Linked DNA regions of Saccharomyces cerevisiae S288C. The protein of the gene in region 1 interacts with the protein of each later gene in a biochemical or structural test. Each region holds a gene or a part of one and is shown in the gene's direction. Other genes may lie near its edges.

What was found.
Region 2: of the proteins of EFT1 (region 1) and EFM2, one has a biochemical effect on the other in vitro, tested with the Saccharomyces cerevisiae proteins (one study listed by BioGRID).
Region 3: the proteins of EFT1 (region 1) and CNS1 form a complex in vitro, tested with the Saccharomyces cerevisiae proteins (one study listed by BioGRID).
Region 4: of the proteins of EFT1 (region 1) and EFM3, one has a biochemical effect on the other in vitro, tested with the Saccharomyces cerevisiae proteins (2 studies listed by BioGRID).

Annotation. Positions count from the first base shown.
Region 1 is NC_001147.6:573,553-582,754, forward strand, and holds EFT1 (elongation factor 2), read left to right. Parts: upstream 1-1,545; coding exon 1,546-4,074; downstream 4,075-9,202. Other genes in the region: retromer subunit VPS17, read left to right, coding at 1-1,278; GTPase-activating protein BAG7, read left to right, coding at 5,012-6,241; isocitrate dehydrogenase (NAD(+)) IDH2, read left to right, coding at 6,698-7,807; SIA1 (Sia1p), read right to left, coding at 8,261-9,202. UniProt on the Saccharomyces cerevisiae protein: Catalyzes the GTP-dependent ribosomal translocation step during translation elongation.
Region 2 is NC_001134.8:742,017-750,114, forward strand, and holds EFM2 (S-adenosylmethionine-dependent methyltransferase), read left to right. Parts: upstream 1-2,835; coding exon 2,836-4,095; downstream 4,096-8,098. Other genes in the region: SDH8 (Sdh8p), read right to left, coding at 144-560; BIT2 (Bit2p), read right to left, coding at 745-2,382; HSM3 (Hsm3p), read right to left, coding at 4,345-5,787; UBX7 (Ubx7p), read right to left, coding at 6,045-7,355; serine/threonine protein kinase CHK1, read left to right, coding at 7,578-8,098. UniProt on the Saccharomyces cerevisiae protein: S-adenosyl-L-methionine-dependent protein-lysine N-methyltransferase that mono- and dimethylates elongation factor 2 (EFT1/EFT2) at 'Lys-613' and methylates elongation factor 3A (YEF3).
Region 3 is NC_001134.8:546,577-554,462, forward strand, and holds CNS1 (HSP70/90 family co-chaperone CNS1), read left to right. Parts: upstream 1-3,194; coding exon 3,195-4,352; downstream 4,353-7,886. Other genes in the region: U4/U6-U5 snRNP complex subunit SPP381, read left to right, coding at 1-675; RIB7 (2,5-diamino-6-(ribosylamino)-4(3H)-pyrimidinone 5'-phosphate reductase), read left to right, coding at 884-1,618; DNA-directed RNA polymerase core subunit RPB5, read right to left, coding at 1,786-2,433; SLI15 (Sli15p), read right to left, coding at 4,528-6,624; ICS2 (Ics2p), read right to left, coding at 6,967-7,734. UniProt on the Saccharomyces cerevisiae protein: Co-chaperone that binds to the molecular chaperones Hsp90 (HSC82 and HSP82) and Hsp70 (SSA1). Stimulates SSA1 ATPase activity, but not Hsp90 ATPase activity. Involved in only a subset of Hsp90 functions.
Region 4 is NC_001142.9:658,872-666,572, reverse strand, and holds EFM3 (protein-lysine N-methyltransferase), read left to right. Parts: upstream 1-1,553; coding exon 1,554-2,573; downstream 2,574-7,701. Other genes in the region: STR2 (cystathionine gamma-synthase), read left to right, coding at 1-1,355; YJR128W (uncharacterized protein), read right to left, coding at 3,293-3,652; RSF2 (Rsf2p), read left to right, coding at 3,514-7,656. UniProt on the Saccharomyces cerevisiae protein: S-adenosyl-L-methionine-dependent protein-lysine N-methyltransferase that mono-, di- and trimethylates elongation factor 2 (EFT1/EFT2) at 'Lys-509'.

The DNA of each region.
Region 1 (9,202 bases):
AATCCGACTATTATATTTGATTGCTCCACAAATTTGCCAACATTTCGCAAACAACAATACAAGAATGTCAAAAAATCATACGAAGAATTCCACCAATTGTTCAAATATCTGAATGTTGCCATTCAGGAATCTTTTGTTCCTACTCTTCCCTCTGCGTATACTACATTCGGAATTAATAGCGAAGAAGATAGGATGAAAGTAACGCGAAATTTCCAACTTTGGTTTAACAGGCTATCGCAAGACCCCTTAATTATTCGGAATGAAGAAGTGGCCTTTTTCATTGAAAGTGACTTTAATACGTACACACCCATCAACAAGTCCAAATCACTCGCATCTGGGTTGAAAAGAAAAACATTGAAACAATTAGCACCTCCATATGATGAAATCACAGAATTAGCAGAATTCCGGCCATTAGTCAAGTCTATATATGTTGTTTCTCAGAGCTTGCAAGAAAAACTGCTAAGAGTTTCCAGAAATCGCAAGATGATGGTTCAAGAAGAAAATGCCTTCGGCCAGGATTTCGTTAATCTAGATGAGCACAATAAACTTTACAGAAGATACGGTAAAATATTGACTGCTGTGGGTGATATTGATAGCATTATAGCAACCATGGACATGGCGACATTGTACGATGGTTTAGAGTGGATTGTCAGAGATGCTTATGCCGTGAAGGAAGCATTGACCAACAGGCATTTTATCATGCGAAATCTAGTACAGGCACAGCAGAATTCAAAGGCGAAACAGGAACAAGCACGCAGGTTCCGGTCAAGAAGAGATATTAACCCTATGAAAATCGATGAAGCACTACGTCAGTTGAAAGCTGCAGCTAAAAACGAACAAGTTTTGACCCTTAAGCTTCAACGAATCACGTCCAACATGATTATCGAGAGAAAACAGTGGATTAGCTGGTATGAAGAATGGATAAGAAGCTCGATCAAAGAATTTACACTAAGAAAGATAGAGTATGAAAGAAAGAAGCTGACGTTACTAGAACGAGTACGTTCTGATATCAGAAAAGCTGATGAAAACGGAGGTTTGTCACGTCTAGGACGCCATGCTGTCTCAAACAACAACTCCGATACTTCTCAAACCCTTAAAGGGGACAGTTGGACGGGAGAGAGCAACCGCAAAAGTCAAATCCCCATCAACAAGATCGCTCATACCGAATTTGATGATGAACTATTCACTGAAGACGATGGGTACAACTCTCAGGACTCAGACACTACATCACTGAATGCGCGCCATGCTGCTTCACTTTTGGGCATGTCCACTAAATAATACGTATATAAAGTAGAAAATTCATACCTTTGAACAAGGTGATCTTTTTCCTTTAGTTGATATTAATCCCGGGTAAACTTCCGTGTTGCACTTTTAAAATTTTTTTTCAAATCTCACCTAGAAAATTTTTTTTTGCCATGAGCCTTCCTTTAATTAATCTCAATTGCATACTACTGTTGTATTAAACGCTTCACTGGTTTTTTTACTTAACCCCATTTGCCAGAAAGCCAGACCTACGCACCCAAGAATTTTTAATAACAGATAAAAATGGTTGCTTTCACTGTTGACCAAATGCGTTCTTTAATGGACAAAGTTACCAATGTGCGTAACATGTCCGTTATTGCTCACGTCGATCATGGTAAGTCCACTTTGACCGATTCCTTGGTCCAAAGAGCCGGTATTATTTCCGCTGCTAAGGCTGGTGAAGCTCGTTTCACCGATACCAGAAAGGATGAACAAGAAAGAGGTATCACTATCAAGTCTACCGCTATTTCTCTATACTCTGAAATGTCTGACGAAGATGTCAAGGAAATCAAGCAAAAGACCGACGGTAACTCCTTCTTGATCAACTTGATCGACTCTCCAGGTCACGTTGACTTCTCCTCTGAAGTTACTGCCGCTTTACGTGTCACTGACGGTGCTTTGGTTGTCGTCGACACCATTGAAGGTGTCTGTGTCCAAACCGAAACTGTTTTGAGACAAGCTTTGGGTGAAAGAATCAAGCCTGTTGTTGTTATCAACAAGGTCGACAGAGCTTTGTTGGAATTGCAAGTTTCTAAGGAAGATTTATACCAAACCTTTGCCAGAACTGTTGAATCCGTTAACGTCATCGTTTCCACCTACGCCGATGAAGTTTTGGGTGATGTCCAAGTTTACCCAGCCAGAGGTACCGTTGCCTTCGGTTCCGGTTTGCACGGTTGGGCTTTCACTATCCGTCAATTCGCCACCAGATATGCTAAGAAATTCGGTGTCGACAAGGCCAAGATGATGGACAGATTATGGGGTGACTCTTTCTTCAACCCAAAGACCAAGAAGTGGACCAACAAGGACACTGATGCTGAAGGTAAGCCATTGGAAAGAGCTTTCAACATGTTCATCTTGGACCCAATCTTCAGATTATTCACTGCTATCATGAACTTCAAGAAAGACGAAATTCCAGTTTTGCTAGAAAAGTTGGAAATTGTCTTGAAGGGTGACGAAAAGGACTTGGAAGGTAAGGCCTTGTTGAAGGTTGTTATGAGAAAGTTCTTGCCAGCTGCCGATGCCTTATTGGAAATGATTGTCTTGCACTTGCCATCTCCAGTCACTGCTCAAGCCTACAGAGCTGAACAATTATACGAAGGTCCAGCTGACGATGCCAACTGTATTGCTATCAAGAACTGTGATCCAAAGGCTGATTTGATGTTGTACGTCTCCAAGATGGTGCCAACCTCTGATAAGGGTAGATTCTACGCCTTCGGTAGAGTTTTTGCCGGTACTGTTAAGTCCGGTCAAAAGGTCAGAATCCAAGGTCCAAACTACGTTCCAGGTAAGAAGGACGATTTGTTCATCAAGGCCATTCAAAGAGTTGTTTTGATGATGGGTAGATTTGTCGAACCAATCGATGACTGTCCAGCCGGTAACATTATCGGTTTAGTCGGTATCGATCAATTCTTGTTGAAGACTGGTACTTTGACCACCAGTGAAACTGCTCACAACATGAAGGTCATGAAATTCTCTGTCTCTCCAGTTGTGCAAGTCGCTGTCGAAGTCAAGAACGCTAACGACTTACCAAAATTGGTCGAAGGTTTGAAGAGATTGTCCAAGTCTGATCCATGTGTCTTGACCTATATGTCTGAATCCGGTGAACATATCGTTGCTGGTACCGGTGAATTGCATTTGGAAATTTGTTTGCAAGATTTGGAACACGACCACGCTGGTGTTCCATTGAAGATCTCCCCACCAGTTGTCGCTTACAGAGAAACTGTTGAAAGTGAATCTTCTCAAACTGCTTTGTCCAAGTCTCCAAACAAGCATAACAGAATCTACTTGAAGGCTGAACCAATTGACGAAGAAGTCTCTTTGGCTATTGAAAACGGTATCATCAACCCAAGAGATGATTTCAAGGCCAGAGCTAGAATCATGGCTGACGACTACGGTTGGGATGTCACCGATGCCAGAAAGATCTGGTGTTTCGGTCCAGACGGTAACGGTCCAAACTTGGTTATTGACCAAACTAAGGCTGTCCAATACTTGCACGAAATCAAGGATTCCGTTGTTGCTGCTTTCCAATGGGCTACCAAGGAAGGTCCAATTTTCGGTGAAGAAATGAGATCTGTCAGAGTTAACATTTTGGATGTTACTTTACATGCCGATGCTATCCACAGAGGTGGTGGTCAAATCATCCCAACCATGAGAAGAGCTACTTACGCCGGTTTCTTGTTGGCTGATCCAAAGATCCAAGAACCAGTTTTCTTGGTCGAAATTCAATGTCCAGAACAAGCCGTCGGTGGTATCTACTCCGTCTTAAACAAGAAGAGAGGTCAAGTCGTTTCTGAAGAACAAAGACCAGGTACTCCATTGTTTACCGTCAAGGCCTACTTGCCAGTTAACGAATCTTTCGGTTTCACTGGTGAATTGAGACAAGCTACCGGTGGTCAAGCTTTCCCACAAATGGTTTTCGACCATTGGTCCACTTTAGGTTCTGACCCATTGGACCCAACCTCTAAGGCTGGTGAAATTGTTCTTGCTGCTCGTAAGAGACACGGTATGAAGGAAGAAGTTCCAGGCTGGCAAGAATATTACGACAAATTGTAAGAAGTCTAAATGAGAAAAGGTGGTTCTGTAAGAGCAAACCTTACCGCCTTATGATCTTTTTCATTTATTCTCTGCTTTAAAATTTTGTCGTAATAAAAATAGTATGGTAATAGACTTATATATTATTTTCTTACACATTTTTGTCATATAGTTATATTCCGAATGTTTACAATCGAACCCATCATAAAAATGGACCTTTTCGTATTACCGCCCCCTTTGTAGAGGGGGAGGAACGGCAACTTCTTGACTATTACGACGTATCACCACCCCGTTAGATATACTATGGAAAAAACTATTAAAAACCATTATAATTCATTAATGACATCGGTCCTGAGGTAGTATTACGTATAACTTACCTGGCTCTTGGTCATAGCTTTTTATCCGTTTACGAAAAAAGGAGAAGAAGATTGGGCTTCCGCGGCTATTGTTTGGTTTATACCCCGCCGTATGTTGGTGCTTCTATAATTAGAGCGAAATAGGAAATACAAAAAATCCTTGGAGGGGAGGACCAGCCTCATCGGGCTAAAACTCCCTCAAAACCGGAGGGGCAACCAAAGTATATATCTCATTATGGCCGATACTTCTAGAGGCGCACTAACAGAAGCACCTCAGCCCCTGCAGGTGAAAGAAAGAGGTAATTAATTTTCCGGTTACTTACTTTCTCTCGCTATTGGGGAAAGCGTTGGTTCGAGGCGTTGAGGTCGAAGACAATCATTGTTTTCTTCTTATTTAAGTACATCTTTAGAAGAAAATTACACAACTGGAATGAGTAAATCAATACTTGCTTTGTGTTCCCATTGTTAGATACTCTTGTTTTAGCATGTGATAGCAGTATATAATATAACCTGCAAAATAATCGAAACGCGTACACAGGAAAGAGTACATAAATAACCATAGTATATTTCTGGACATATCTTATTACACAACATAAAATAGAATGTTTAACATGAATCTACTTTCTACACCTTCTTCTGAAGAGGGTTCTCCACAGAATAGGTCATCTTCAATGTCTTCTGTTGAGGGCAAGAAGGATAGGGACACCTTTACTAATTTGCAAAACGAATTTGATGGTAAAGTATTTGGCGTCTCACTCGAGGAATCACTGAAAGTTGCTCAAGAGGAAGTAATTATCCAAAAAAGTACAAATGAAATTGGTTCCATACCGGTGGTAATAGCAAAAAGTGGGAAATACCTAAAAGAGAATGCATTAGACACAACAGGAATTTTCCGTATTGCGGGAAGCAATAAACGTGTTAGAGAGCTACAAGCTGTTTTCTCTAAACCGCCCGATTATGGTCGTAAATTTGAAGGATGGTGTGATTTCAATGTTCATGACATTGCAACTTTATTAAAAAGATATTTGAACTCATTAAGTGAGCCTTTGGTTCCCCTAGCATTATACGACATTTTTAGAAATCCAATATTAGAAAACCCAAAAATAAATGAGCACAAAGAACAAATCATTAAGGACTACGAAGATATTTATATGCTCTTACCACAACAAAATCGCCATTTAATACTTTATTTAGCCGCGCTCTTGAATTTATTTGCAAGAAATGAAAAGAAGAATTTAATGTCAGCAAGCAATTTAGCGGCCATCGTACAACCCTCACTTTTGTCTCATCCCAAGGATGAAATGTGCCCGAAAGAGTATGAGGCTTCCAGAACTGTCATCGAATTCCTCATACTACACGCTTCAGATATAATACCGAATACGGAAAAAGCGAATAAGGACACCATGCCGCATGCAGGAACAGTAGCAAAGTTTAACAACATTACCGTTCCTGAAATGGCTATTGACTCCGATGAAGAAGATTTTGTGCACCCTTCAATAGATGACCATATGCTTCCAAGGTCACGTGCACTTTCTGACTCCAACAATTTTACCATACATCATCATCATCATCATCATCATGCACTGTTTCCTAGCCCAATAGATTTTGATAACAATGGGCTTTCTGTACCGAGATCCTTTAAAGGTAGAACATTGAGTGCAGAGTCCCTTTCTCCCAGACTTAGTAAATTACTTGGGAACGTTGGAAACAGCAGCAATACTGGCATCAAAGACCCTACAGAAAGAGTTCCTAGAGGTGAACATAAAACCAAACACAAACAACGACAGTCATGGTTGAGAAGACTCACTAGCCCTTCTAGAACGCAGCCTTAGCTTCCTAAGCACTGTGATCTGCTAGTCGATTCCGAGGTTCGGCGAAGAAATTGTCGTTGCCCCGCCAGGGGCCTTTTGCGATACTCGGCGCTTCTTTCAGCAATCTCGGTCCGCATCTCGGCAAGGGGGGGCATGACACGGGCCGCTCTGGTTGGTCAGTTCCTATTTTCTGTAACTTCCATTGTTTGGTTAAAGAATATATAAGTTATTGAAAAGCTCATAGGTCCCTTATTATAGGCCCTAAGGTTTTAGTTTCTCATCATAGTCATATCAGAAAAACCCTCCTTCTAAAGTTTTCCTCTTTTCTTATTTCTTTTTCATTTATTATTCATATTTATATAAATATATATTCCAAGTGCATGACATTATTGGATACACTTTTTCTGAACCTGAATTACCTTGGTAGATAATAAGATACAGATCGGGAACGAACAACAATTATAATATTTTTTAATAATGTTGAGAAATACTTTTTTTAGAAACACCTCGAGGAGGTTTTTGGCTACTGTAAAGCAACCTTCAATCGGAAGATATACCGGCAAACCTAACCCTTCTACCGGCAAATACACGGTCTCGTTCATTGAAGGTGATGGTATCGGACCTGAAATTTCCAAGTCTGTAAAGAAAATCTTTAGTGCAGCAAACGTCCCCATAGAATGGGAATCTTGTGATGTTAGCCCTATCTTTGTCAACGGATTAACGACCATTCCTGACCCTGCCGTACAATCTATCACAAAAAACCTGGTTGCACTAAAAGGTCCACTAGCTACACCTATTGGTAAAGGTCACAGATCTTTGAATTTGACATTGAGAAAAACATTTGGGTTATTTGCCAACGTTCGTCCCGCAAAGTCTATTGAAGGTTTTAAGACCACTTACGAAAACGTTGATTTAGTTCTTATCAGAGAGAATACCGAAGGTGAATATTCTGGTATCGAACACATAGTTTGCCCTGGCGTTGTTCAATCTATTAAACTGATCACAAGAGATGCCTCTGAGCGAGTCATTAGATACGCTTTTGAATATGCAAGAGCCATCGGCAGACCAAGAGTTATTGTGGTACATAAATCTACTATCCAGAGATTAGCTGATGGTTTATTCGTTAATGTTGCCAAAGAACTATCCAAAGAGTATCCTGACCTTACTTTAGAAACTGAACTTATTGATAACAGTGTGTTAAAGGTGGTCACCAACCCATCTGCTTACACAGACGCTGTTTCTGTTTGTCCAAATCTATACGGTGATATCTTGTCCGACTTGAACTCTGGTTTGAGCGCCGGTTCTTTAGGTTTAACTCCATCTGCCAATATTGGTCATAAAATCTCGATCTTTGAAGCTGTCCATGGCTCTGCCCCTGATATTGCCGGTCAAGATAAAGCGAATCCAACTGCCCTACTTTTATCTTCAGTAATGATGTTAAACCACATGGGTCTAACGAATCATGCTGACCAAATTCAAAATGCAGTATTGTCTACTATCGCATCAGGTCCAGAAAACAGAACAGGTGACTTGGCTGGTACTGCTACTACTTCATCATTCACTGAAGCAGTCATCAAGAGATTATAAAAGTCCTATTCTTTTCCCTCTCAGGTTTTTTCACGCCTTGAAAACAAATGACTATCCGTTTAATATAATGATTTCTGAAAGATTATGAAGTAAAAAAAAGCAAAATGCTTAGATATATAATATATACATACAATAAAAATTCCGTATCTACTCCAAACTTCTATGGCTTTGTCCTCAATGTGTTCTGATGTTTATTTAATAGCCTGAAGTTTTTATTAAGTATGTATACTTTTCGATATTTATTCTTTTAATAATGCTACAGGAGACCATAAGTGATAACTCAAAATGTCCCTCAGTGGACTTGTAAACCAAAAAAAAAAAAAAAGAAAAAGAATTAAATATATTATGTGTAAAAAGAAAACACCACCGTGTGTTATGTATATTTTGTTTATGTCTATCTATCATCTATCCTGCTGGCAGTCAATGTTCACCTTACAAAATTAATCATTGAAATTATTGCTTCCCCTTATAGATGTACTGATAATCGTAAACCTCGTCAACAAGATTGCTATTCCTCTTCCACGAAGTTATTTCGTCCAAAATATCATCCAAGTTAAATAATCTAACGGTTGGATATATACCTTGGATTCTCGGCAAGCCTATACCAGCGGACCCACCGTAACATAACCACATCTCATTTTTTGACTGTAAGCAACAGTCATTATTATGTTCATGTCCGCAACTGACACCCTTTATATTCCAAAGACTCAGGATATCAAGGAAGCTTTTGTAATGTTTGCCATTGATCGTCATTGAAACTTGTCCTCTAGACCTTGGCGTATCTACTGTTAAGGTAGACCTCTCATTATACTGCCCAATAATAGGAAATAAACCATGAGGCCTATATTCCGATAATGGAAAATATTGAAATGCCAAGCCAAAGTCTATTTTCCCAATCAGGTCGTTATAATCTTGTAGGAAATTATTGACGGGCGCAAATGAATCAAAGACGAAAAATAAAGCCTCTGATGGGTTTGTTTCGTCTTCGGTATCAATGTCTCTTTCCAAAAGAGTATTCTTCGTGAGCTTCTTTTTAAATGAGACTTCTATGGCCATATGACCCTCTTCTGATGCAACGTTGTTAAATGTGTAAGGTAAATTCCTGATAAAGTCTCTAATTTGTGCCGATGTGGCCAAATTGGATTCGTCAGAAACACCCAATGAAATTGCGTAGGGTATTTTATTAGAAATCATTGGTTGGACAACTTTCATAATGCACGTTTGATAGTCGATAGTATTATGTGAGTCTAACAAATCACCTGTGATCACAACTAAATCAGGGTTTTCTGATGCGAGTACCCTATCAATAAAATTTACTGTTTTTATTTCATTGATTACGGTCATGCTATTATCCGTACATTTGAAATGAAAATCAGTTATTTGGAGAATTTTGAA
Region 2 (8,098 bases), on another chromosome or scaffold:
ACGTATGCATTTCATAACACACACATATATATATTATATATTCAAAATAAAGCATAACAACATACATATTGAAAAGTAAATTGAACGTTACGCAGTTTCATCAAATAAGAATAGTATTATTAAAAATTGGCCGGACCAAATATCTAGAAATCCGTTACTCTTCCGTTAAACGAATAATCGCCGTGTCTCAACGGGTCCTGCTTGGGACCCCCAACTTCACCAGTCTTGGGGTTAACATCACCTTCGAATTCAGGTATGGTCTTGGAAAATTCAGGCGAGAATGACCCAATATCGTTTTTGGTTAAAAGCGGTGAATTCAAACTCTCCTTTGTACGATCGCCGGTGGCCTGCGCATTATACTGATCTATTGCCTCTTGCGATGTGGCAATCCTCTGAAGTCTTTCGAACTCTTCCTGCTCTTCTCTTGGCAGCTTGGGAGGGCCGGGGATCCTTTCAGTAGTTATTTTTCGGGTGGCCATATTAAATGGTCGTCCACGTAGTAGATTTAAGGCTCCCGTGCGAGGATACCGATAACCTGTGCTTTTGATGGCGCACAACATTAGTTCTTCTTTTTATTATTTGGTTCTTTCTGACTCTTTAGCAAGTTAATATGATCTGCACTTTCCCCATTGGCCCCTTTATAGGGCGGAAAAGAGCATCTGTTTTTCCGGATTCTTGGAACAAGAAAAAGGAAATACACCTATCTATATGCCACTATTGTATATTACTAAATAAAATATTTAATTATATACTCATGCGTATGCCCTCAAGAAGTTCACCAATAATTCTTTGGTTTCTGCTGTTACCTTTTATGGTATTCAGGATCCCAAAACACTGCAGCAGCGTCAGTTTATCTTCCTCTGTGACGCCGTTCTGTTCTTCCTCGCTGAAAATATATCTTTGAAAACTCTTACTGGCACCGTCATTTGTATGTAGGAAGCTTTCGTAATACGGAAGAATGATGGAGTCTCTAAAACACTTTAATAAAAGGACATCAATTGACGGTGCGTACCTTGAAGGTTCAGATAGATATCCGTCAAGCCAGTAGTTACTATTTTTTTGGAAGCTTTTCTCGAAGGGCAGTAACACTGCCATCATGTCGTAGTAAACCTGTTGGTAAAACACCTTCCAGATTATGCCGACTCTTTTCAAAGCCGTATTTACGGTATCCTCATTGGCATAATTGAACACAATCTGGTTCTCTAAAATGTAAAGTGAAGTGGTAATGAATTCCTCGATTTCGGCCAAAAACCTTGAGTGCGTTACGGCAGCCTTGGTTTGTGTTTTCAAAGTGATATAAAATTCCAGCAGCCGGTCAATATCTTCTATTTTTGCTGGCAATTGCCATACCCTCTTGTTTTTAAATAGCTCCACAACTATGCTGCAGTATATACCCCAGATATTCCCCTCCAGAACAAATAACTCCTGTACGGTGAAGCTTTTATAGTTTGCTATCAAGGATGGCAAGTTTTTCAGTAAATCATGTAGTAAAGAAACATTAGTCGCGTCGAAAGCATCATCTTGGATCAGCGATAGAGCTGTATCATTAGGGTTGTTGTTAATGCTAGGGTTAAAGGAATATACAGATTTTCCAGAGTCAATAAGGCCTCCAGTAGAAGTATGGATAAACTGTACGGGTGACCTATGTTTACCATATGAAGAATGCAGAAATTTACTGAATGGGCTGGGAACTACGGGTTCAACGTCGTCTTTACCAATGGAATTATGCGGCTTGTAGGGTAAAAGCTTTTTTGCCATTTTGCTAAAGACATTACTGCCTTTGTTTGAATGAGAATGTCCTGTAGACAGTGAAGATTGTAAACTGTTCACACTCATATTAGATTTCGTATGAAACAATTTAGAGCCACTCCTACTTATGTTGTTACTACTTGTGCCGGTAATAACAGTGCCGTAGTTTTTTGACCCGCTCCTGCTTCGATTTCTCATATTATCTTTTGAATTGGTGAAGATGGACAGTCGCCTTTTATTGCCCCTTGAGTTGGAAGAAAATAAACTATCATTAGACGTGGTGTTCCCCTCCATTCGGTTACTACTTGATGAACCTATTTCGGAGTGACCATCGTTATTCTCCGTGCCTTGGCTGTACTCCTCTTCAATCGAATCCGTCGAGCGCCTTGCATTGGAACCATCATGGAATATAGATTGAAACCCCACCTGTGACCATCTAGGAGCGGCATCATGAGGAGATTTGGATGTTTTTAGATGCACATCTTCGTCGGGATGTGTCAGCGCTTGCGGTACTATATCAGAAGAAACACTATAAACTCTAGCTGGTTTGCGATTAGTTGCTTTTATGTTCGGGTTCGTGACGCTCAGTGAGCCTGAGGTAGCACTTCTTTTACGATTTAGGTCTGTTGCCATTGCTTGACTCTGTAGTTTAAGACTCGCCTAGCCACTTATGCTTATTGTGGTTTGTATTTTTTATTTACTGTCTTCTATCTTTCTCCCTTTAATTTTGACCTTATTTTAAAGCCCGCAAAGATCGCTGAAAAATTGCTAGTAAAGGTCGCATGCAAAATGGATAAAGTGCTCTTGTCAAATTATTTCAACACCTTCATTCGCAGTATAGTGGTATATTGGATTGGGTAAAGGAAAACAGGCGACACCAATATTGGTTTAAGCTAGTAGCGTATGCAGCTCTATCCAGGCATTAAAATTGGTTCACCTATTTCTGATAGTAGTTTTTTTTTTTCCAATCGTAAATTTTTTCTTCAATTTCGCGATGAGCTACAAAATAATAGTAGTGCAATCTGTATATTACTTTTCAAGTATCTAACTCATGCAAGTTAGGAGTTCCATAGCGGATATTTCACTATGTTTGATCCTCTCGATTTGTACACCCCTGATGACATCCAGGTTGAGGCTTTACAGTTCAATCTAGCAGAGAGAGAGCCAAAAGATCCTTGCTCACCGCAACGTGACGAAATATTAACGGCTGTAGATGAAGAAGAGAGTGACGACGATGACACCATTATCGATAATCTGGATCTGCCCTCCGTGAAGTATGCTCCGCCAGAAGTTATCCTTTGTATACTAATACTTCTGAAGCCCGATAGACAAGTAAACTTCAATCAGGAGACAGGGAAGAACAAATCTGTACTGGAGGTTTGCAAGAGTCATGGGCTGGAACCCGATCTGCTGAAAAGACTTTTGACTTGGTATACAGAAGAATGGCCTAACAAGAGGTTAAACTCGTTGGAAAAGATATGCAATAAAATCCCAATGCTGAGATTTACAGTATCCAAAGAACTACTGTTGGGCTACTATACTAGTGTATTGAAAAAATACAATAATAGTTGCGGATTGAATGAGGAAATCATACAAGAACTTCTTAAGGAATTGAGCTCAAGGATATCCGAAAACTGTGGGAGAACGGCCCAACCATCCATAGTAAGATATTTTGAATTAAGAAATCTAAGCACTTCCATACCGCTTCATGAACCCTCTTTAACGGCCGATAATCTTGGTTGGAAAACATGGGGATCATCTTTAATACTTTCACAATTAGTCGTAGATCACCTGGATTACCTACATACCACTAATGTGAACATGTTAGCGAACAGCGACATCAAACAGATTAAAGTATTAGAATTAGGAGCGGGCACTGGTTTAGTAGGACTTTCATGGGCCTTAAAATGGAAAGAACTTTATGGAACTGAAAATATAGAAATCTTCGTGACGGATTTACCCGAGATTGTGACGAATTTGAAGAAAAATGTGTCATTAAATAATTTAGGAGATTTCGTTCAAGCAGAGATATTAGATTGGACTAATCCTCACGATTTTATAGATAAATTTGGACATGAAAATGAATTTGACGTCATATTGATCGCCGACCCGATATATTCGCCTCAGCATCCGGAATGGGTAGTTAACATGATATCGAAGTTTTTGGCGGCATCAGGGACCTGTCACCTAGAAATACCTTTAAGGGCAAAATACGCCAAAGAACGAGAGGTTTTGAAATTATTACTAAAAGAGAGTGATTTAAAAGTAGTTGAAGAACGGCATTCAGAGGGTGTGGATGATTGGGGTGCCGTTAAGTATTTATATAGGCAAATCGTTCGCAATTAGTGGGAAAGAAACGAACGCGCTTAGGCGAATAGTTTTTCTTTATAATAAAAATCATGCATGCTACATAGACATTGAAATGTGAATTATAAGTACTTGCCAGACCTTACATACTGATTTATACAATTTATGGAGAAGAAAACTGAATGGGCCACCTCGCCAAAAGGTTAGTTTTTGATTCAGACAGGAATCAATACTGGTAGTACATTAAACAATCAAGGCCGCCTTTATAGTTGCGCTTATGCAACATAATCATCTGCAATCTGCAATCTTAGTTTCACTGCCTGTGGAATAATTTTTTCCGTTAACTGCTTTGGAGTATTCTCGCAATAAAGGTTCATACCATACACTTAACTTTTCTTCACCTTTGTCCAGTAAATTTCTCAAGGCAGAATTCCTATAATGCACAGTCTCAAGATCTATAATAGCACCTGCGCTCCCATCACCTATCAAGCTGCCCATCACCTTTGGCATCTCATTGAGCAGAAATTTTGAAGTGTATTCGTATCTCGTCAAGGTTTCTACTACTTGCATTTGTTCTAAGTACGGTAGTCTTAAGACAATCTCAGCACTAAACTTGTTTCTTATAGCATTGAAACATTCTTCATCTGCTGAAAGATTTCTCAACATTCCAATGCTGTAGCCACTGACGTGAAAATAGTTTTCGACCACATCTTTATGATATTTTACCAAGTACTGCGGATTAATTAATTCCAACCACTCGGTTATTAATTTTGCTTCGGACCCAATTTTTAAAGAATCTTTGTCCATAGTCTTGAATAAAGAATATTCATCTTCCTCAATTCGTGACACCTCTGCGAATAACTGTAAAAGACAATTTGTAGAAAAGGCCCTGACATCAGGATAGTTCTCCGTGTCTTCAAAAAGTTGAGCAAATACTGGCAGTATTTTTTTTACATGTCTTAAAGCCCAGTATTTATCTTGATTTCGTATTTCCAGCAAAAACTTAGTATAATAATTAACCAATTCGATGAAAACGAGGATATCTTCAACGGATTTCAGTATCTCTTCTTTAGTAAAGCAAAATATGATATCCTTGAACTCAGGACCGCTGATGAATTGAAACTCAATAGTCAAGAAGTCAATTAATCTGACAAAAGAAACCGTTTCCATTCTACCCTTTACGCTCACCAGGTATGGCAAATTATTATCAAATAATCGACGCCTAATCAATTCATCTGTACTCAACCTTTCCAACGCTTTTTCGATTGCTGTAATGAGCTTATCATTCTCCACTTTCTCATCAAATAGAATATCCAATAGAATATCGATGATATTACTGGTCGCGAATAAACCCTTTGGCTGCGAATTCTCAATGACTCTACATGCTGCTACTTTTAATGGATCTATTTCTGACCTAAGGGCCTTCACTAAGTCCTCCGCGCTATAAACTTCTAGAACATCGTCAAAATCAGCCATGGGAACAAGCTTGTCCACAACGTCCAAAAGGTAATCGTAATTCAATGAATCATAGGATACGTTAGACGTCAGAAAACGCTTGATCGTAGCCAGTAGTGGTTTAACATCCATATCTGGAAGGGAGACAACAGTCACAAGATTCAAAGAACATTTCCTTAATAGTGTGTTGATATCTTCAGGCAAGTTATCTTCATTAAGTTCATTTTCTAATTGCGTAAGGAGATTTTCCACGTAATTTGTTTCTTTCTCACTCATTGCTCCTGTTTCGCTGAGTTCTTTTGCGGTGATTATAGTTGTAAACTTGTTTTATTTTTAATCCCGTAATTAAGGTGTTTATATAAACTTACTCTTCAATTTTTCTATATGCATTTGAAACAGAAAAAAAGATATAAAAATACCAGCTATAACAAAAATCCATGTAAATAAAATTACTGTATATTTTTTTATGTAATCTAATCAAAAAAAATTCACGTCTAATACTAGTCATAAATGGAGTTGAAGCCATTAACTACTTATTTTTTATCTTCGTCCTTTTTCTTTTCTAAATGGACATTATTACCATTAAAGGTTGTTGGGTCTTCAGGATCTTCTTGATGATCGTTGTTAACAAATTGGAAAACATTTGGCGAGACAGAACGTGACGTAGTAAGGTTGGTTTCCGATGGGTACCTGGTTCCGCTAGGTGTCAGCATTGGTGATGCATGAGCAGATGATTGAACTGGTTCCCGAACATTGTTGTATTGGAAACAGCTTGACGAAGCAGCTCCAGATAAAGGTGTTGAAGACCTCACTTCGTGACGATTCGGCTTCGATGTTTCCTCACGTTGTGATGTTACTTCAGGATCTTTATCGTTGTGCCACCACGTAGAGAATCCCTTATAAAGACGGCCCAAAAGGCTTGGTCCCTCCATCCCAGTCACAGATAGCCCCGAGTTTTGAGTTTCTAGTGGTTTAAGTAATAATGCAGACCTTGGAGTTAGTTCTAGTGTCTCTAGCGTCTTCAATTCATCAGAATCCTTAAATGTCACTCTGGGAATGCCCCTGTGGAATGAGTACGGGCAGTCTCCATCTGTCCTGTTGACGTCCACCCATTTTCTAACGTCATTTAATGTTTCAGACGAGTTGAACTCATGTTTTAGAGTCTTGCCATCAGTCATCCTGATTTGCAAGACGCATTTGCTGCTGTGCAGTTTTTGTGCGTCTTTTATGTAATCATGAACATCCAATGGCTTATCATCATCAAGGGTTCTGTGATGAGTTTCATCAAGAGCTTTTCTTTCTGCACGGTCTGCCCTAACAAGTCTTATAATTCTTTCTCTTTCCTCCTCAGCCAGCTTTCTTTGTTTCAGTTGTTCACGACGTTGGATCTCTAAGGTAGTCTCAGCAATCCGTTCTCTTGCATTTTTCCTATGGACGTCTCTGGATGACTTTTCTTCTCTAGCCAAACCTGGATTGGTTTCCCTGGACGAACTCTCACCAGCCTTTTTGTCTTTGATGCCTATGCACGCCAGCAACTTCTCCCAATGTCGGTCATCCTCGCCTTGAATAATCAATTCTATCTTTCCAGCACGTATCAAGTATATACTGGGTACAACTACATTAGGAAATACTTGCTCAAATAACTGGAACTGCTCAGTGTCTTTGACCAACCTCAACCAAATACTATGTTCCGCTAAAGTATCTAATGAGACATCATCTCCTTTAAACCAACTTTTCAGCCACTGGTCATCCCGTGCAGTGTTGTAAACGGCCAGCACAACGCCTTCCTTGATGGAATCGTTTATTGCTTCTTCCACAGAATCTCTAAACAGTGCTTCTAACATTTGGTTACGGCTGTTTGGTTTAGCTATCCTTGCTTCTTTGTAAGTGCTTTCAACCTCAACCCAGCTCCCTTTTAAATTTTCAACATTACTACGAGGCCTGCCGAAGTTAATAAAGAGCGGCTTTAAATGTCATTTTAATAATTGAATGGCAAATAAAAACAACTACAGCTTCAAACATAAGAGTATATCATAAGTTGCTGTATATGGGCAGCACGTATTACTATGAGTCTCTCGCAGGTGTCACCTTTACCCCATATCAAGGATGTTGTTTTAGGAGATACAGTAGGCCAAGGCGCATTCGCCTGCGTTAAAAATGCTCATCTTCAAATGGATCCCTCCATTATTCTAGCTGTTAAATTCATTCATGTTCCCACTTGCAAAAAAATGGGACTCAGTGACAAGGATATCACAAAAGAGGTTGTTTTGCAATCGAAGTGTTCTAAGCATCCTAATGTTTTGAGACTTATCGATTGTAATGTCTCTAAAGAATATATGTGGATAATTCTGGAGATGGCAGATGGTGGTGATCTATTTGATAAGATTGAGCCTGACGTTGGAGTTGATTCCGACGTGGCCCAATTTTACTTTCAACAGCTCGTTAGTGCTATTAATTATCTGCATGTAGAATGTGGAGTTGCTCACAGAGACATCAAGCCTGAAAACATCTTACTCGATAAGAACGGAAATCTGAAGCTAGCTGATTTTGGGCTCGCCTCTCAATTTAGGAGGAAAGATGGTACATT
Region 3 (7,886 bases), on another chromosome or scaffold:
GATGGGAGTCCCGAAAGTGATGAGAGTCCCGAAAGTGAAGAAAGTAGCGACAACAGTGATTCGAGCGATAGTGACGATATGAGACCTTTACCGAGGCCATTATTTATGAAGAAAAAGGCCAATAATTTGCAGAAAGCTACCAAGATAGATCAACCCTGGAATGCCCAAGATGACGCACGAGTTCTGCAAACAAAGAAGGAAAATATGATAAAAAACATCGACAAAGCTAATCAAGTGGCAAAGAACTACGAAACGATGAAGCTGAGACTTAACACCAATTACAGCACCAACGAAGAATTGATCAAGCAGTGCTTGCTCTTAGATGATAACGATGAAGTCGATTCAGAAAAGGAGAGACAGAAATGGTTTGAAAGGCAGAACGAACGAAAGCAAAAGCATAGAAGAATACAACTTGCGAAACAAAGAGAATCAGAAGAATATGAGGCAAAACGATTTGAAGCGATGCAAAAAGGCAAAGATGGGAATACCAAATACGACGTTATCTTGGACAAGGAGAAAGAGAAACTTGATCACAAAAAACAAAGATCGGCTGAAAAAGTAGAAAAATCTCACAATAACAACCGTTACAAGATTACAAGAACTAAAAATGTTGAATTTGGTGACCTAGGCAAGAATAGTAGAGATTACGAAGAAACTGAATATTCGGTTATATAACACCGCATCACACACACAAACCCACATGCCTTTCAGTTAGTTGATGTCGGGAAAATCCCGAAACAGAAAAAAGAGGCAAAGATGAAGATATCAAATTTTTTCGCAGAACCATTACATCTGGCTTTGGATACGATGAAACAATCTAGCAGAAATACAGTACCAACCTATTGGTAGCTTCTTTGTATTACTATCAACATTTTTAGAAGATATGTCTTTGACACCACTGTGTGAAGATTTACCACAATTTCTGCAAAACTATCTACCGAATGCTGGTCAAACGGAAAATACCATTGTGCCCTTTGTCACACTAACTTATGCTCAATCGCTCGACGCGAGAGTATCTAGGGGCCCTGGAGTGAGGACTACAATTTCACATCCCGAGACCAAAACAATGACGCATTATTTGAGACATCATCACGATGGAATACTCGTAGGAAGTGGAACAGTGCTAGCTGATAATCCTGGATTGAATTGTAAATGGGGTCCCGATCCGGCTGCAAATTCCCCAAGGCCAATAATAATAGATACAAAGCAAAAGTGGCGATTTGATGGTTCAAAAATGCAAGAACTTTTTATTAAACGACAGGGTAAGCCGCCAATCGTTGTTGTCACAAGTGAGCCCATTATAAAAGAACAACATGTAGACTACGCAATTTGTCCAATAAATGATACTACGAAATTGGTCGATTGGAAGAAATTGTTTGAGATATTAAAAGAAGAATTCAATATAAGGTCAGTAATGGTTGAAGGAGGTGCCAATGTAATAAATCAGTTGTTGCTGAGGAGCGATATTGTCAACAGTCTTATAATAACTATTGGATCAACATTTCTGGGTAGCTCAGGCACCGAAGTTAGCCCACCCCAAACAGTAAATTTAAAGGATATGTCATGGTGGAAGGGCATTACCGATGTGGTGCTTTGTGCGAGACTGGCCGATGACTAATAGTGTTAGAACTCCACCTTCTGTGTAATTTCTTTCTGAAATTAGTGAAAAAAACGCGCCTTTCAAATTTTCATACTAGTGATTGGTTTATTGCAGATTATTTATTTCTAATTGTACATATTCTTGTTATTTTATATTATATGAAAGGGGTAAATCCAAATGCCACTCTACATACAGATTCTGTAACTGGCATAACGACCAGAGGTTTCACTTTTTCTTATGATTTTAACTACTTCGCCTCTTTTCAATCCCAAGTATAAGGCTACAGGATCAGCTCTTTGAATTCTTGGCAATTGGGATTCCTTCAATCTATACCTTTTTAAAAGCTCTCTTTTCTCATCACTACTCAATCTGATATGCTTTGGAACCAATTCGTGGTGAGTAATATTAACCACTAAGGCAGCTTCATTAAAAGTTTCAATGGTGGCTGGTGGTATAGAAGGCACCAATTTCATTGCACTTGGTGTAATATTATTTTGGTAAACAAAGATACCTGTTTGGAAATTTTTTTCTTGAATATGTATAACAAAAGTCTTCATTGTCTTTACACCAACGGAAGGCTCATCACAAAATTCTACCCATAAGGAGCCCATGTCTGGGAACTTTGATATAGATTCTTCTGTTGGATTTGCCTGGAAGGACATCATTTTACGTTGTGGTCTGCCCATGGAGTCACAATACTTGGCCTTGAAATCTTCCAATGGCAATTCGACTTCCTCTTGAGTGATAAAATAACCCCTGTCCTTAACCATTTCTTTTACTGTTCTGAATGCTCTCCATAATCTTGAGATGTTTCTTTCATTTTCTTGGTCCATTGTCTTAGCTTATTAGTAATATCCACCTGCGCACAAATTTTGTAAATCCCCTACTAATTTAATTTGAATTCAAATTGGCTCGTGATCTGTTGACCCTTGTTAGCAACGTTTGTAATCTTCCTCACCGAATTGCGTCGTTTTGAATAATATATATGATTGAAAATTTTTCAAGAGAAAAGAAAAATTTTTCCTTCCGCGGTCAGCCATTGCTAAAAAAAGGCCTCCGTTAGGAGTCGAATAGAGGACAACAACAATACATTGCCACTTTAATTTTAAATGCTTGCATATTAACTAGCGATCAGATGCTCTGCTCTATATAAAATAAATTATTGATACGGTTTCTAGTCTCGGTTGATGATAAGAGTACGTTAATCCACCTACCGAGCATTACCAAGATATCTGGCACTTTATATGTAGAGAGTCTGTGTTCTCAAGTTTACTTGTGCGGATAATGAGCTTAAAGACTTAAATACTAAAAGCGTATGCGTTCGTATCTCTGTTTAGGCACCTTGTACAGTTTCACAGAAAACTGTGTAATGTGTGATTATAGTACACAGAACAAAATAACTTCACCTCATCTCTTTCTTAACGCAGTGAGGAAAAAGGTGGAAAAAAAAGAAAGAAAAAAAGAATATGTGTAATTTCCGGCACTTTTCAGAGCGATGAGCTTAAATTCAAAAGCAGCATTGAATTAAAAGTGAGGTCTTGAGCACTACATTCTAGCAAGTAAAAGAAAAGAATAAATTGGTTTTGCATCTAGAATGAGCTCCGTTAACGCAAATGGAGGATATACCAAACCACAAAAATATGTGCCAGGGCCAGGTGATCCTGAACTTCCACCCCAACTATCCGAATTTAAAGATAAAACATCGGATGAAATCTTGAAAGAAATGAACAGAATGCCTTTTTTCATGACCAAGTTGGATGAAACAGACGGTGCAGGTGGTGAAAACGTGGAGTTAGAAGCTTTAAAGGCATTAGCTTATGAAGGCGAACCACACGAAATCGCTGAAAATTTCAAGAAGCAAGGTAACGAACTATACAAAGCAAAAAGATTCAAGGATGCAAGGGAACTTTACTCAAAGGGCTTGGCTGTAGAATGCGAAGATAAATCAATAAATGAGTCACTATATGCCAATAGAGCGGCATGTGAGTTAGAGCTGAAAAATTACAGGAGGTGTATCGAGGACTGCAGTAAAGCTCTAACTATTAACCCCAAGAATGTTAAGTGCTACTATCGTACAAGCAAGGCTTTTTTCCAATTAAACAAGTTGGAGGAGGCCAAATCAGCCGCAACATTTGCCAATCAAAGGATTGACCCAGAGAACAAATCAATTTTGAATATGTTATCAGTGATTGATAGAAAAGAACAAGAATTGAAAGCAAAAGAAGAAAAACAGCAAAGAGAAGCTCAGGAACGTGAAAACAAGAAAATTATGTTAGAGAGCGCAATGACGCTGAGAAACATAACTAACATCAAAACTCACTCTCCAGTAGAGTTACTTAATGAGGGTAAAATAAGGCTAGAAGACCCAATGGATTTTGAATCTCAATTGATCTATCCCGCATTAATTATGTACCCCACGCAAGATGAATTTGATTTTGTAGGTGAAGTAAGTGAGTTAACTACTGTGCAAGAACTTGTTGACCTAGTTTTGGAAGGGCCGCAAGAACGCTTCAAAAAAGAAGGTAAGGAAAACTTCACACCAAAGAAAGTGTTGGTGTTCATGGAAACAAAGGCAGGTGGTTTGATTAAAGCTGGTAAGAAACTGACATTTCACGATATCTTGAAGAAAGAGTCGCCAGATGTACCATTGTTCGATAACGCTTTGAAAATATATATTGTGCCAAAGGTAGAAAGTGAAGGGTGGATTTCCAAGTGGGATAAGCAAAAAGCCTTAGAAAGAAGATCTGTGTGAAGTGTCAAATAGTTAAAAATATGTAACGCAAAGTTGTAGATAGAAATAACAAAGCAAGAAGGAAAAGTAAAGAAAGTGAACGATATACGTAATGCAGGGGGAATACCAGAGTATTTAAAGTGTACTTGATTTAATGTTAACCAGTTTGAATTTTTCTTTTCTGGGGTAATCGAATTCAAGACCTTTTGGGCACAATTTGACGCGGTTTCAACCTGTTTAGCCTAGGATTTGGGAAAATTTCATCGGTGTGCAAAGGCGGAATTGGTCCAAAGATAGTTTGTGGATTTATATCTTGCTGTCTTATCAATTGCTCTTGCAAATACGGGGATTTAGCCCATGCCGCTAAAGTTACGCTAGCCTCATCTTCAGAATCAGTATTTATCTCTGGTAAAGAATCATTGACAGAGGCTATCTTTGGGGTCACATTTCCGATTATTTCTCGATGGTCAACTGTATTTATTGTGGCCAATATATTGTCGGTACTAAATGCAGTATTTTTGTTGATGGTATCTCGCACATGATTATCGAAAGGAGCCAAAGATTCTTTTAGACGTATGTCCTTGTAGTCATTACTAAAGCTTGTTTGCTTTTTTAGATCTTGTTCCAAATGCGACATCCTTTTTTGTTTCTCTTGTTTACGCCGATGATGTTCCTGTTGAGACCTCATAATTCCTGATAACCTTTTATCAAACTTTTTTTTTAAGTCATCTCGTTCTGCCTCTGCTGGTGGAAGTAATTGAAGGTTTGTAAGCCGATAATTTTTGGATTTACGAGACTCTGGCTTGGAGATGTCAGCAATATTCGGAGAAAGTTTTCTTAATGTTTTCTCTTTAATTTTCAAACGATGTGGCGTTTGCGACGTTGTTAAATTTTTATTTTTATTAGGCGAAATAGACGCTTTTGTTGGTCTCAAATAACCTCTTACAGGGCTTTGGTAATAATTTTTAACTTCTTTAGATGGCGAGCTTGAATCGACACTTATTTTTGTTGGAGAAATACTGTGCGGTCTTGAACCAGTTTTATGAACATCACTAGAGTGTTTGGACTTCTTTTTCTGTTCTGCAATGATTGCTAGCTTTTTGTGTGTCGTTAGCTTCAAAGAAGTCTTATCAAACCTCGGAATAGAGGATTTTCGAGAGTTTTTTCCTTTGGGTGAATTATTTTTGGTTATTTTATTTTTTACTGAGAATATATCTCTTAACGCTTCTTGCATATCAGTATCCGTGGAGTTTATTGACTTAAACTTTTGAGAAACTTTTTTCATGGGGGAGCCTGTTAAATCGATTGATGAAGAGGAGTATTTGTGACCAACGTTTCCACGGGAAATTTTGTTTTCAAATGATTTTGTTGGAATAGATGATAGCCTATCGAAAACACTGGATGCTTTTGTAGATCCCGCGGTATCACTGTTTTCCACAGCTCTTATAGCAGGACTATTTATCGTAGATTTTTTTTTAAATGCGATTGGTGATTCCTTTACTGTTCGTACTTTTGGTATTGATCCTGAAGATTTTGTTGGTGGAATGTGTTGAATAATAAGAGGATCTTTATTCGGCAGTGGAACAAACATATTCGACCTTCTTTGAGATCTCGCTATCCCAGAATTCGGTGGTGGTTTCACCTTTACTGATTCAGCTTTCTTTAAAGCTTGAAGTATAGGTTCATTCTCCATTTCTTCCTTAGCCGCCCATGTTTGATTATCGAAGCGTTTTGTATTAATCGGAGACTCCGAAGTCTTGGAGGATTCTCTTAGAACCTTTTCAACTTTGTAAGGTGACCATGGTGAGGATTTTTCGCTTTCATTGGCGTCGACTTTAACGCTATTCAATGGCTCAACCGGGCTTTTATTGGTATCATGTATACTAAATCTATTCATTCCTTCGGTGACTTCCTTCCTGCGGAGTGATTTAGGCGTGATACTTTTATCGTTATGTAATCCATTTCTGGGTGTCTTAGTAACGTCTTTTGCGGCATCATTCTGGGAGTTAGAAAGTTCATATTCTCCTTTCATTTTAGGAAATTCGACATCCATTTTGTTATGCGTATTTTCGGGGCTAATTAAAGACTCTTCCATCTTTTTGTCTTCATACTTGAGTGTATTCATATAAACATTATTTCTTAACCATTCACTACTTTCGTACAATCGTTGATTTATTTCTGAATGTGCATCTGTTGTTAGATTATTTAGATCATCGAGGGTTTCTATGATTGAACGGGTAGAGCCTGGCTTCCTTTGAGTTTTCTTCCTAGCTGCTTTGATTGCCCAGTCCATTGTTTAAATCTTCGGGCTCTTTCAAAGTCCGTCAGTTGAGGAGATACTTTGAAACGTTTTGTTTGTATCATTGGCAATACTTGAAACGAGTTTTTGTTTGTTTTCTTTTTTTAGTTAATTCGCGAAATTTAAAATATGAAGATCGGTTTCAGAACAGAATGGATCAGGCTTTTCCGCGTATAAGAAATAATAACACTGACATAACGCTATAACGAAACAGCGTAACAAAATACTCTTTACATGGTTTATTTTTATATATTCATTTAACATTATCAAAACTAACATTAAGTCCTTTATTTATCAAAACAAACGAAAAAAAAAAATGCGAGACAAATGATCCAGTCATTTATTGTCAATATCTAAGTCAATTAGTGGTTGCAATATGTCTCCAGTTTCCACTTTATGAGCAAAAATTTTGCCCTCAATATTTATCTGATTTTTTTCAGCGAATTCTTTCAAACTCCCGAATCTACCGCTTGCGTTTCTTCTTAATTGTTCATTGGTATTCATGATTGTGTTTTTCGGGGACATTTGGTGGGTATATGAAGTATCCGGTGAAGAATGATATTCTTTGTCCAAGAAAGAACTTGCCAATGAAGTTTTTCTTGAATTGACGCCTATGCTTGAATTAGAATCGTACCCGTCAATGAAATTTGGCTTACAAGACCTGCTGAATGAGATTGCATGACTTTTTCTGTGGTAACTTTTCCTTCGCCCTGAAGGCTTTGTAAGTTCGTGTGATAATGAACGTGAATGCGAATGTGATGATAATTCATTACTTTCTACCCTTAAAGGTGATACCGCATTAGGCTTTCTTGGACATATGGAGGAATTTCTCCTCGTTTTCACACCATCCTTGTCTCCAGGGAAAGAGTAGGTCTTCAGCTTGTTGAACAGAGCTTCGCCTTGAGACTCTTCAAAATAAAAGCTCTTTTCGTACTCATGGGGTTGTTTGCTGCTATCGAACTGAGATTCTGTTGAAGAGAGAGAGCTGAAACGTCCATAGAGTGGGCTGCCAAGTGATTTAATGGATGTACTAGATTGACTGCCCGTAGTAGGAAAACTAAATGTGCTTATTCTTTCTCTTTCTTTTTGCTCAAATTTGCCCATATCTTGCTGGAAAGGGAAACTTCAGTGAAGTAATAACGAAGGTGGTGTAGAGTATAAATTTTTATTAAGTATGCGCTTTGACGTTCACATATTTGTAAAAGATTTATTTGAGAAGATAGAATGGGTCTCATTTATTTATACTTAAATGCTTC
Region 4 (7,701 bases), on another chromosome or scaffold:
ATATAGAAACGAGATTTGGGAGAAATTTAAATTTTCTTGCTGCTGATAAAGCCAAATATCTAATACGAAAGAGGATTGCCACAAAAGTTGTTGAAAAAATTGACTCTGAAGGTCTATCGGACCTATTCTCTTTTGAACACTATAACGAGAGCAACGGTCCATTCAATGTTGGCAGTGGAGAGGCTCTGGATGATGATCAGTTGAATTCGGACATACCTGCCGAAACAATTACTTCTATGGGAGAAAGTGGCTCAAACAGTACTTTTGAAAACACAGCTACCGATGACTTGAAGTTTCATGTCAACCCTAATACGGATGTTTACTTATTTCCAAGTGGAATGGCGTCCATTTTCACTGCCCACAGGCTGCTTTTAAACTTCGATGCCAAGCGCTTATCAAGGTCTTCTAGTAGACAAGATAAGTTGATTGGATATGGACCTCCGTTCAAGAAGACCGTCATGTTTGGATTCCCATATACAGATACTCTGAGCATTCTTCGGAAGTTCAATCACACACATTTCTTGGGACAGGGAGATTCAACGTCAATGAACGCTCTGAAAAATATTTTACATTCTGGTGAGCAAATACTGGCGGTATTTATAGAAGCTCCATCGAACCCACTGTTGAAAATGGGAGATTTACAAGAACTGAAAAGGCTATCAGACTTGTATTCATTTTACATAGTGGTCGATGAAACTGTGGGTGGCTTTGTCAATATAGATGTATTACCGTATGCCGATATTGTTTGTAGTTCGCTAACGAAAATCTTCAGCGGCGACTCGAACGTTATTGCAGGATCCTTAGTACTAAATCCTAGAGGAAAGATTTATGAGTTTGCTAGAAAATTTATGAAGACTGAAGACGGATATGAAGATTGCCTATGGTGCGAAGATGCGTTATGCCTGGAAAGAAATTCGAGAGACTTCGTGGAACGTACAATCAAGGTGAATACAAACACTGATATATTGTTAAAAAGGGTGTTATTGCCTCAGGTGGGAAAATTGTTCAAGAAAATATATTACCCCAGTTTAACATCAGAGGATACCAAGCGGAATTATGACAGCGTTATGTCTACAAAAGATGGTGGGTATGGAGGTTTATTTTCACTAACTTTTTTCAATATTGAAGAGGCAAAGAAGTTTTTCAATAATCTGGAATTGTGCAAAGGACCTTCTCTCGGTACGAATTTCACTTTGGCGTGTCCATATGCTATTATTGCCCACTACCAGGAATTAGACGAGGTAGCTCAATATGGTGTCGAAACAAATCTTGTAAGAGTGAGCGTCGGTTTGGAAAATAGCGACGTTTTATGCAATGTTTTTCAGCGTGCCATTGAGAAAGCTTTAGGGGAATAAAGCCAAAATGTTTATATGTATTAGAAAACTCTGTAGAAAATTTTAATGCTGATTGTCCGGACACGACAAACAGCGAAATAAATACTAGCAGTTAGTACATCATCGCAAAAATGATGAAGAATGTATAAGTAAATGAAAAAGGAAAAGAAAGCAGAAAAATCGAGCTAGTAAAACTTGACCCTCCTCGTCAAAGATAACATGAATGAAGATCTATTCTACGATAGATTACATCAGCGGTGCCCTGGAAAATACTTGCTAGAAGAGTTGGAAACAAGCAAATCTAACGATGTCCTGCATGCATCGAGATTTGTTTGTGAGATGGAACTTGTGCAAAAGACGAATGCATATTATTGCAAAACCATAGTCAAGATGCTCTTAGACCACGAATGGATTTTCGCGAAGGCATTCACAATTGTCAACGATGGCGAAGACGAGATAGAGATATATGATTATCTCTATGAGAAGTACATAAAACTATTAAGCACAGGCAAGCCAGACCCGATGATGAAAGACGTCGTGAGGTACAGGTTTGACGAGGACGTAAAGATCAAAATTGAGGAAACACCGAATTTGATCAGTGCGGCCAGTACTACAGGTTTCAGGACATGGGAAGCTGCCTTATACATGGGTGATTTCCTTATTCATAAGCCCTTACAAGAGTTGGCACCGGTACAAGGACAAGACGATGGCAAGAAAAAATTAAATGTTCTTGAGGTCGGCGCTGGCACAGGCATAGTGAGTCTCGTCATTTTACAAAAGTATCACGAGTTCGTAAATAAGATGTACGTCACGGATGGTGATTCGAATCTCGTTGAGACGCAGCTGAAAAGAAATTTTGAATTGAACAATGAAGTGCGTGAGAACGAACCAGACATCAAGTTGCAAAGATTATGGTGGGGCAGCGATAGAGTTCCTGAGGATATAGATTTAGTAGTGGGGGCAGATGTTACGTATGACCCAACTATCCTTCCTGATCTATGCGAGTGTCTGGCCGAATGTCTTGCTTTAGACCGATGCAAACTGTGTCTCCTATCCGCGACAATTAGAAGCGAATCCACTGTCCAACTGTTTTCTCAAGAGTGCAATAAACTCGGGCTAAAATGTACCATAGTCACCAGCACAGAGTACGACGCAAACAACGAGATCCGCGCGATGAAAGCCCTGCAATTCAAACCTTTGATTGCACCCATACGGATCTACAAGATCACGAAACAATAAGATACATGTGCAAGTACAAGTTCAAAAATAAAACATAACTAAAAAAAAAAAGAAAAAAAATATAGTCATCTTCTGACACTCGAGTCTCATTCAGCTAATCAAAACAACTAGCAATCCACTCGAGTTCTTATAAATGACCCGGAAATTGATCTCTCCACATTACGCTTATCACGAATAAGACCGAGTGTTCAAATAAATAGCTCGATCTTCGTACTGTCTAATGCGGTGGATTAGTACTTTAGGACAAAGTTACTTTTTTTCGGAAGGAAACTTCAAAAATAGAATTAACAAATAAGAAGGAAAAGCGAAAAACAAATCTCATTGCCTGTGCTTTCTTTTATACTTTTTTTTTTCGCTCGGAACCTCTTGCTTATACACGGTTTTTTTCCACGGAAACCTCGGTTACCCTTCAATTACTGGAACGTTAGGGCACAATCTAACAAATATATATACTGGCTTACAAGATGTAACAAACTACGAATAGTGGTACGAAGCTTATCACATGCACCATTATCTGTAACTGGGTTGCCGCCAACAGCAGACTCATGGGCTGGTTGAAAAAATCTTGGAAAACAGAGATAAACAGCTCGGCAGATAACATTTCCTGCGACCTTAATGCTGCGTTAGGTGTAATTGTCGCAATTTGCGGCCGGCCATAGTTGTTCGTGCTACAATATATGGAAGAAGCAACTGTTTTTGAATCAACGGTAGTAACGACCTTATATCATCATACACGAAAATACGCACAGACGGGGGTGAACCACTCCAGGGGCAGAGTAGAGTGTACAAGGAAAATTGTGATCTCGCCGCACGGTGCTGCATCGCGGAAATTCTCCGTAGGGCAACGGATAAGGTAACTGCGTATGCGGCATCGACAATAGGTAACTACGCGAGCAACTTCTATTAAGAGAAATAATTTTTGGGAAATGGCCTGTTTCGGATGGAACCGTTCGCATTTGGACGAGGGGCGCCTGCATTATGCATACTAACCGCGGCCGCTCGAATAAATCTGGACAATTTTGTTCCGTGTTGCTGGGCACTTTTCCGTCTGTCTTTCTTTTTCCCGCTTGACCCTGCATATATTAGAAACGAAAACAAAGAAACAAGGACTTCTTGGATTTCCATAGAGTTTTTTTTCTTCGTTAAACATTGCCTCTCTCAACACACGTTTTTCTCGAAGACTCTTGCACCAAAAAGAAACTTTAGGGCGAAGAAGCTAAAAGACATTGGCGATACTAGAATAGATAGGGCAGATAAAGATTTTTTATTAGTGCCGGAGCCAAGTATGTTTGTGAACGGTAATCAATCTAATTTCGCTAAGCCCGCTGGTCAAGGTATTCTGCCCATTCCTAAAAAATCTCGAATTATTAAGACTGATAAGCCAAGACCGTTCTTGTGTCCCACATGCACTAGGGGTTTTGTCAGGCAGGAGCATTTGAAGAGACATCAGCATTCGCATACCCGTGAGAAACCGTATCTTTGTATCTTTTGCGGTAGGTGTTTTGCTCGTAGAGATTTAGTGCTCAGGCATCAGCAAAAACTTCATGCTGCTCTTGTAGGTACGGGGGATCCACGGCGAATGACGCCAGCACCAAATTCGACTTCTTCTTTTGCCTCCAAGCGGCGCCATTCCGTGGCGGCGGATGATCCAACCGACCTTCATATCATTAAAATAGCCGGAAATAAAGAGACTATTCTACCCACCCCGAAGAACCTTGCTGGTAAGACATCTGAAGAATTGAAAGAGGCCGTGGTTGCCTTGGCCAAATCAAATAATGTAGAACTTCCCGTCTCGGCCCCAGTAATGAACGATAAGCGAGAGAAAACTCCTCCTAGTAAGGCAGGCTCCCTAGGATTTCGAGAGTTCAAGTTCAGCACGAAAGGCGTGCCAGTTCACTCTGCATCAAGCGATGCTGTTATCGACAGGGCGAACACTCCCTCTTCCATGCATAAGACGAAAAGACATGCGTCTTTCTCTGCATCCAGTGCAATGACTTACATGTCTAGTAGCAATAGCCCCCACCATTCAATTACCAATTTCGAGCTCGTTGAAGACGCTCCGCATCAAGTCGGCTTTTCTACTCCACAAATGACCGCGAAGCAGCTCATGGAAAGCGTGTCAGAATTGGATTTACCTCCGTTAACCCTGGACGAACCACCGCAAGCTATCAAGTTTAACTTAAATCTATTTAACAATGACCCCTCCGGACAGCAACAACAACAACAACAACAACAGCAAAATTCCACCTCTAGTACCATAGTGAACAGCAACAATGGAAGTACAGTTGCTACACCTGGAGTGTATCTCTTAAGTAGCGGTCCATCTTTAACCGATCTTTTGACAATGAACTCTGCACATGCAGGTGCGGGAGGATACATGTCTAGCCACCATTCGCCATTTGATTTGGGCTGCTTCAGTCATGATAAACCGACAGTTTCTGAATTTAACCTTCCGTCAAGCTTCCCGAATACTATACCGTCTAATTCTACTACGGCTTCTAATAGTTACAGTAATTTGGCAAATCAAACTTATAGGCAAATGAGCAATGAGCAGCCGCTTATGTCACTATCTCCTAAAAACCCACCAACAACTGTTTCAGATTCCTCTTCCACGATCAATTTCAATCCAGGCACAAATAATTTACTGGAACCATCAATGGAGCCCAATGATAAGGATAGTAATATCGATCCTGCTGCCATAGATGACAAGTGGTTATCAGAGTTTATTAACAACTCTGATCCAAAATCTACCTTCAAGATCAACTTCAATCATTTCAATGACATTGGGTTTATTTATTCTCCACCTTCATCAAGGTCATCTATACCAAACAAGTCACCTCCAAACCATTCTGCTACCTCATTAAATCATGAAAAAGCTTCTTTATCACCTCGCTTAAACTTGAGTTTGAATGGAAGCACAGATTTACCAAGTACACCACAAAACCAACTAAAGGAGCCTTCCTATTCTGACCCTATTTCCCATAGTTCTCATAAGAGGCGTCGTGATAGCGTCATGATGGACTACGATCTATCCAATTTTTTCAGCTCAAGGCAATTGGATATTTCCAAGGTATTAAACGGGACAGAGCAAAATAATTCTCATGTGAACGACGATGTTCTCACTTTGTCTTTCCCCGGCGAAACTGATTCTAATGCAACACAGAAACAGCTGCCTGTTCTTACTCCTTCGGATTTGTTATCTCCGTTTTCTGTCCCTTCAGTATCTCAAGTGCTTTTTACCAATGAGCTAAGGAGTATGATGCTAGCCGACAATAATATCGATTCAGGAGCCTTCCCCACAACTAGTCAATTGAACGATTATGTGACTTACTATAAGGAAGAATTCCATCCATTTTTTTCATTTATTCATCTTCCTTCTATCATACCTAATATGGACAGTTATCCCTTGTTATTATCTATCTCCATGGTCGGAGCATTGTATGGGTTTCATTCGACGCATGCAAAAGTGTTAGCTAATGCAGCTAGCACCCAAATTAGGAAAAGCTTGAAAGTTAGTGAGAAAAACCCGGAGACGACAGAGTTATGGGTTATACAGACATTAGTATTGCTAACGTTCTACTGTATTTTCAATAAAAATACAGCCGTGATCAAGGGGATGCATGGTCAGTTGACGACTATTATTCGTCTCTTGAAGGCCTCTCGTTTAAATTTGCCCCTAGAGTCCCTATGCCAGCCGCCTATTGAGAGTGATCATATTATGGAATATGAAAACAGTCCTCATATGTTTTCAAAAATAAGAGAGCAATACAACGCGCCGAATCAAATGAACAAAAACTACCAATATTTTGTATTGGCGCAGTCACGTATCAGGACTTGCCATGCGGTATTACTTATATCTAACTTATTTTCTTCACTGGTAGGTGCTGATTGCTGTTTTCATTCAGTCGATTTAAAATGTGGTGTTCCATGCTATAAAGAAGAATTATATCAGTGCCGAAATTCCGATGAATGGTCGGACCTATTATGTCAATACAAAATAACGTTAGATTCGAAATTTTCGTTGATTGAATTGTCTAATGGTAACGAGGCATATGAAAATTGTTTGAGGTTTCTTTCTACAGGCGATAGTTTTTTTTACGGAAATGCTAGGGTTTCGTTAAGTACATGTCTATCATTGTTGATATCTATCCATGAGAAAATACTTATTGAAAGAAATAACGCAAGGATCAGTAATAACAACACCAATAGCAATAACATTGAGTTGGACGATATTGAGTGGAAGATGACTTCCAGACAACGGATCGATACAATGTTAAAATACTGGGAAAACCTTTATTTGAAAAATGGTGGCATCTTGACACCTACCGAGAATAGCATGTCAACAATAAACGCCAATCCAGCAATGAGGTTAATAATTCCGGTATATTTGTTTGCCAAAATGAGACGGTGTTTGGACCTGGCACATGTTATTGAGAAAATCTGGTTGAAAGATTGGTCCAATATGAATAAAGCTTTGGAGGAAGTTTGCTATGACATGGGTTCATTGAGGGAAGCTACCGAGTATGCACTGAATATGGTGGATGCGTGGACTTCATTTTTTACGTACATTAAACAGGGCAAGCGCAGAATTTTCAATACTCCTGTATTTGCGACCACATGTATGTTCACTGCAGTATTAGTGATTTCGGAATACATGAAATGTGTAGAGGATTGGGCACGCGGGTACAATGCCAACAACCCTAACTCAGCATTATTGGATTTTTCGGACCGTGTCTTATGGCTAAAAGCAGAAAGGATTTTGAGAAGATTACAAATGAACTTGATACCGAAGGAGTGTGATGTGTTGAAATCGTACACTGATTTCTTAAGATGGCAGGACAAGGATGCCCTAGATTTGTCAGCACTAAATGAAGAACAAGCACAAAGGGCCATGGACCCGAATACCGATATAAATGAGACAATTCAACTAATTGTAGCGGCAAGTCTATCCTCCAAATGTTTATATTTGGGTGTTCAAATATTGGGTGATGCGCCAATTTGGCCTATAATATTATCGTTCGCTCATGGTTTGCAATCAAGAGCTATCTATAGTGTTACGAAAAAAAGAAACACTAGAATATAAGTCCGATTTACAAATATATAATGGCGGCCGTCTCTATACTATAGT